2 linked regions of the Coturnix japonica genome follow. The protein of the gene in region 2 purifies or fractionates together with the protein of the main gene of each other region. This does not show direct contact. Links are inferred from orthologs where the notes say so. Each region holds a gene or a part of one and is shown on either strand. Other genes may lie near its edges.

What was found.
Region 1: the proteins of PLK1 (region 2) and BICD2 purify together in Homo sapiens (affinity purification with mass spectrometry; 6 studies listed by BioGRID and IntAct, counting the BioPlex papers as one, with this or other methods). This does not show direct contact. The link is inferred for Coturnix japonica from reciprocal best matches to the Homo sapiens genes PLK1 and BICD2.

What each region holds. Positions count from the first base shown.
Region 1 is NC_029527.1:4,843,338-4,846,837, forward strand, and holds part of BICD2 (protein bicaudal D homolog 2), read right to left. Parts: intron 3,495-3,500; coding exon 3,343-3,494; intron 1-3,342. UniProt on the Homo sapiens protein: Acts as an adapter protein linking the dynein motor complex to various cargos and converts dynein from a non-processive to a highly processive motor in the presence of dynactin.
Region 2 is NC_029529.1:6,814,039-6,816,683, reverse strand, and holds the end of PLK1 (serine/threonine-protein kinase PLK1), read right to left. Parts: intron 2,439-2,645; coding exon 2,284-2,438; intron 1,819-2,283; coding exon 1,636-1,818; intron 1,266-1,635; coding exon 1,059-1,265; 3' UTR 501-1,058; downstream 1-500. UniProt on the Homo sapiens protein: Serine/threonine-protein kinase that performs several important functions throughout M phase of the cell cycle, including the regulation of centrosome maturation and spindle assembly, the removal of cohesins from chromosome arms, the inactivation of anaphase-promoting complex/cyclosome (APC/C) inhibitors, and the regulation of mitotic exit and cytokinesis.

The DNA.
Region 1 (3,500 bases), on a different chromosome or scaffold from region 2:
AACGAAGACTTTAAGGAAACACTCGCTTGATTCTAAAAACAACCAACTACAAAAACAAATACCTACACAGTGGAAATAAGAGTCCTGAACATTAAATATTACCACAGGAAAAGGCTGCACATCACTACCTCTGATCAGTGCCAGTTTTTCCTTATTCCTACTTATTACCTTCTTTAAACCTCGGCACGTGGTCCCATTTATAGCTGAACTCACTACTGACTCAAGATCGTTCTGCAAATAAGTGATGTAACCAAATGCACCTGGATATAATTAAACCTCCCACCCCTCCCCTGCAGTCAGTGTGAGGCCCACAACACCATTTCCAAGCAAGTAAGACTGAGGTGTGACTGAAGGAGGCTTCCAGAGCATCGACTGCTCCCACTTCTACATGGAGAGATTAAGCTGTCAGCCTACGTAAGAAATCAGGGCACAGAAGATTTAAACTCCCTGTTTTTCATCTTCCTTAAAATATGGAAACGTGTTAGTAGAGCAGCAGTTAAAATGACATGTAAATGAATACTGACCGAGTTCAGCTGTAAGGGATATTAGCCACCTGCTTCCAAACTCATTCTTTATGTTAGAAATTAATATTAAAGACTGAATTTTAACACCTTCTTTCCTTCACCTTCCCCCTCCAATAGCAGCCTTCTGCTCTGTGATGGTGGCAGATGCAGATGAGTTCCACGGATACTGCAAGGACCAGGACTGAGGACAAGGTTTACAATGAATGCAATTTAGATTGTTAACTGGAAGGCCAAGGTTTAAATAAAGACTTGTCACCATCTCACCACAAAAGGACAGAACAGCTCAGGGTCAGCCAGCTTAGGGTGATAGGTAAGCAGGTAGAAGCAGGTCTGGTGGAACTTCAGCCAGCTGCTCACTTGCAACTCCATGCTTTAAAAACTCATCTGAGTTGTGTAATGAAAATAATAAATGCTATTGCATTTATAAGTGTCTATGACATCTGCACTATAAACATAGTATAATTTATAAGCAGCTATAGTTTGTTTTCTAAATTGTTTACAATCAGCCATGTGTAATCAATGTCCATTAGTAAAAGCTATTAAAGGAATTAATCAAACTATAAATCTCTTATAATTTCAAACATGTGGGAAGGATTGTGCCCTGCACAGAGAGGGAACAGTCAGCCCCACACAGCTGGGTACTGCAGTCGCTCTGAACTTCCACTGATAAAAACACTCAAGGACAGATCATAAACTTTTATGGCAAATTCCCGCTTCTAGAATTCAAAAGAAAATCTTCTTTTTTGTTGTTTAGACCTATTTTAGAAGACGAAACTAATGATTTTATGCCACTAGAGTAGAAGCAATTCCTAAGCTATCATCCCCAGGCAGGACATTTTTCTCAGGTCCTCACTGAAGGGGGTAGCGAAAGATGAAGACCTAATCCTGAACTCTCCATTCCTCTCAACACTATACAAAAAAACCAAAGTTCAACTTCTCTTTGAGTTTTTTAACAGAGAAATGATTGCATCTTCATTAACTGCAATCTATTCTGCAATATGGTGACTGCAAGAGCTGTTACAGTCTCATTAAGCAGGTAAATTCCATTTCCAGGCAGATTTGAACCCAGCCCCCAGTGCTTTCAGCCCATTGGTACGTACAGCAGGGAGAGGTGTGTTGATTAAGAAAATCTGGACTCAGCTACTGAATGCACTTCCACAGTACATTGTGCATATCTTGATTTATTCCTTCGTGTGACAGCTTAATTTTAGGCTTCCGGTGTTGTCTAGAATGCCCCAACAGTTTCTCAATAGCTCCTTTAATGCTGGAAGCCATTAATCTGTGTTTTGCAAGCCTTCCTTTGTCTCCAGCCTCAGGTCTCACTGCATTTTCATTACTTATTAAAAATAGCTGGCAGTATTGTCACATTAGTAGGATTACTCTAGTTTGGAAAGGAAATTAGGTCAGTTATTCTATTCACGCCCAATCTTCAACTCACATGTATTGTTTCAGTTCTCTTGTATCCTACAAAACGGTTGTTTCCTGTGGAAAATAGAGGTGTATGCAGCTGTCTGCCTCATCCCACGGTCAAACATAAAATGGTATGGTGGGCTAAGGGACCCACCACTTGTTACTCATCTCTGCTGATAGGAACCTCTTGGCCAGAGCAGGAATGAGACTGACGGTACTTAGTAGGTGTTCCATTAGCTGTTTGCAGTAGCAGATAAGTCTTGTTTTTATATGATTAATAGTACTGAGATGAACTCACCCTTACAGAGAACTTCTATTCTGCCTTCCTCATATGCTATGGAATCCTTTCCAGTAAAAGGACAAAATCGACCTCCAGATGACAGCACACCAAAATAAGGCAGGGAAAGAATGATTCCTCTGCTGTTTCTGACAAATCTTCCTCTCCAAATCACAATCACACTAAAGCACTGAGGCAGCACAATTAACATGTAGGAAAACACAGGCAGCTGGCTGTCTGCATCTAGGATAAAAAACTGAAAGCCAGTAGTATATTTTTTCCTTTCCTCTTATCTTCAAGCTATTAAAGCTAAAAAGCTTTATACTGCGGTTACAAAGCTACAAAGAGATTGCAATTTCTGCATGTTAGATCACACTCCAAAAAAGGAGAGCAGGACAAAAGCATGCTGTGCAGGGCTTTGCTTTCTCCAACATAATGAGGTGCTACAACTCCATCTTCAGCTTCCTTAGTTTACATTTTGCCTTTTCATGCTTACTCATATACAAAGATATTGCTGAGAAAGACAGAATCACCAGGAAGCCTGTGGTCACTCAGGGCACATTCATGATGCTGCAGAACCGCCTCCACAAAAAGAAAGATACAGAAAAGCCACAGGAATCATTACCAACATCCTTGTGGTTCCTTATTGTGGTACTTTTTAGCTGATGATAGAAAGAAAACCTTTTATGTTTGTAATGTATATGAACACACACACACCTAATAACGTACATCTGTGTTTGCCAGCATCTTTGTTTGTTTGTTTGTTTTCTTGATTGCTCCAGGTCAAGCAGAGCGACATCTTCATTGAATAAGAAGCGCTAATTTGACATTGATAAATGTCAGCCCTCAGCTTTCAGGACTTCAGGAGCCAGGGATAATGGCCAACAGGGACAGTAACTCAAATTACTTCAATAACCTACATCAAATTCCTGTTTTGTAGCAGCACCCTAGCATTTTCCTTGTCAATAAGAACACACTGCAGACAAACACTGTAAGCAATGAATGTAGGTAAGGGCACCCCACCCGGCCACTGACTGCATGGGCAGCCTTGCTGCTTGTGGCAGGATGCTCAGCTGTTCTCCCCACACAAGCAAGGAATGACATACTTTGCAGAGTTCAGATATTCTTTACCTTGTAGCAAACATCGCTCTCAGGGAAGAAAAGGTAGCAGCGTCTTCTTTCAAAGCCTTCAGCTCATTCCGCAGCTTCATCATCGTCTCCGTAACCATAGCTTTCTCATTTTCATACTTGCTTTTTAAGTTGGCAAGGGCTACCTCTGCAGTCTACCA
Region 2 (2,645 bases):
CAAGCTGGGTTTGTGCAGACCCATTCCTCTTTTTGCTGGAATATGGGATCTTGTTACTGTAGGTAACAAGGCATTTGTACCTGGTTTATCTTCAGAACACTGTATGGCCAAGAACATTTTATACAGAATGTTACAAAATAATAATAATTAAAAAAAAAGCTTGTCTTGCTTTAAACCAGACTTGTACAACAGCAGCAGATGCCAGCCATCAGCACTAGACTATTGCAGCAGTCCAGCATGACTACAGTGTTAGCAAAGTACTTACAACATGAAACATAATCAAAGGCTCTGATCAAACAGAAAAGGGGAGGCATAGAACTGCTTTCCTCCTGCAATAAGCCCCAAGGCTCTTCTCTATTTTCTTTTTGGCATTGCCAAAGAGCAAATCCAAGGCTGAGCTCAGCCAGCAGCTGGTGGGAAGAGCTGGTGGAGATGATAGGTCACGAGGAATCTACAAGTAACATGCTGCTGCCTCCCTGTCAAGGAACCAAGAGAGGCTGGACACTCCCAAGAACAATCTTTAATCAAGTTATACAATATACAAAAGTTTAGTTTGCATGTAGAACAAGTTCAGTATTAAAATGCAGATTGCTCAGTCTCAACCTGGGCAGGTTAAATACATTAGTTGTACTGTGACAAAAGGAAACAAAGTCCAGAGCATCATGCACAGACATGTACAAAACTTACATGATCGTTCTGGGGAGAACCCCACGCTTTATCTCATTAGAAGGCCCAGGAACCTCCAACAAGAGGGTTGGTGTTTGAGTCAGGCTTTAGGCTTTGAAAAGTTAAGGGGATGGGGAAAAAAAAAGACTATATAAGTAATTTTAAAAAAACACTTTGTATTGGGAAGAGCAAGAAACCCCTTTGTGCACCACTCACAGTGAACACAGCACCATCACCACAGCATCAGGGGCTCCCTGGGGGCAATCAGAGTGTACCCAGAAGCAGGAACCCAGCTGTGTGATGGCAAGTTACAGTACAAGGGATGCTAATAAACTTCCCTGTCCACAGCTGAGCCGGTTTGGCACAGATGTTGGTTCCATCAAGACCAAAGCCTAAACGGAGGATTTCACACGGGCTGAGCCAGATTTTGAACTGAGGAGTTTCTCCACCATGGTGCGAGCATAGCGTAGTCGGCTGGCCAGCTCCTTGCAACATCCATGCTCTTCAATGAGGCTCAGCTTGTATGTGCGGAAGTCCCGTTTCTCATCTATATATGTGACAGCAGCCATTAGAGGGCACAAAATGACTTTGGTGTGGTCCTGTGGGGGAGGGAACACAAGGTCAGCACATTGCTCTGCAATGTTTTTCACTCCTTCGGATGAACCAACACAGCAAGGTCACCCCAACTGCAGGCCAGCAGCATGCTGACAAAGCACAACACTGCAGAAAAGCCGCAACAAGAAAGCTCTTACTCATAGAGTGAAGCAAAGGGAAACAAGTTCATGCTAAAGGAAACAACTACTAGATGAGCTAGGAATGGCTGGATGGCTTAAATACCAGCAAGCAGAGCAAGGAGCCTTCTAGTGCTACGTTCACAGGGCAAAGCTTCAGCTCAGGTTGTAACTGCCTGCAGGAATCACCACCTTACCACAAAGCACTGAATGCAGCAAGTCAGTACAACAGCCTCACCTGGAAGAAGTTGATCTGCACGGTGCCATTGCTGAGGTGCAGGATGATGGCACTGCGGGTCCGGAACCACGTGCAGAGGTAGGGTAAACGTGCCAGCTCGTCTCCTTCCCGAGGTGTAATGTTAGCACCTGCCTTCAGCAAGTGCTCGCTCATGTAGTTCCTGAAGTATTTCAATAGTGTTATCTGCAAATAGAACAGGCTGTCAACAGACAGGCTGAGGATGAGCCCTGATATCTGGGGAGAGTAGGAGCTGTTACCACAAATTGAGACTTATGTCTTTCAGAGCTTAAGGGGTCACTGCACAAACTGGTGCAAGTTCTCAAGCACCACCAGAGTTAACTTCACTGTCTGAGTACAAGACTCATTTTGCTGAATGCTTCAGCACATGTCAGCTTCATGAGAGTTTATTTATGTGAAGCTGCTCAGAAATGAGCTTCAGTTAGCAACTAGAAAAAAGCAAGATGCTGCCAGGAACTCTCTTTTGGGTCACATTTTACCAGCCAAGAGGAATCCTGCTGAATGCGACTCCCAGTAACAGATGTTTCCCCCCCCCCACTGTCCACCCTGATAGCAAAGCTCAACGAGACCTGCAGAAATCTCATCAGGAACAGCCACCCACCACCAAGGGCTCCTGTCCTCTGGACTGACCTTCTTATTCAAGGCAGAGGGGCAGGATCTCACAGTGAAGTAGGACTCGGTGTTGTTTTGCTCAATGTACTGCAAGCTGTCCCCATCATTGTACATAATGAGACGAGTGGAGTCATTGAAGAGAACTCCAACACTGTTGTCACATAATTGATAACCTGGTTGAAAAAAAAGCCTGTCAGACCTTCACACACATGGGACCCTTGGTTACATGAAATACAGAGCTGGATCATCTAGGGGATCCCTGGAGGCCACCTCATCAATTTTAAAGATCCTCCTTTTAACAGAGGTCGAGATGGCACTTTTTTCTCCTCTGGGTTTGTCACCCTCCTTTGCTGCATTATCTGCTGCATAAGCAACTTCAA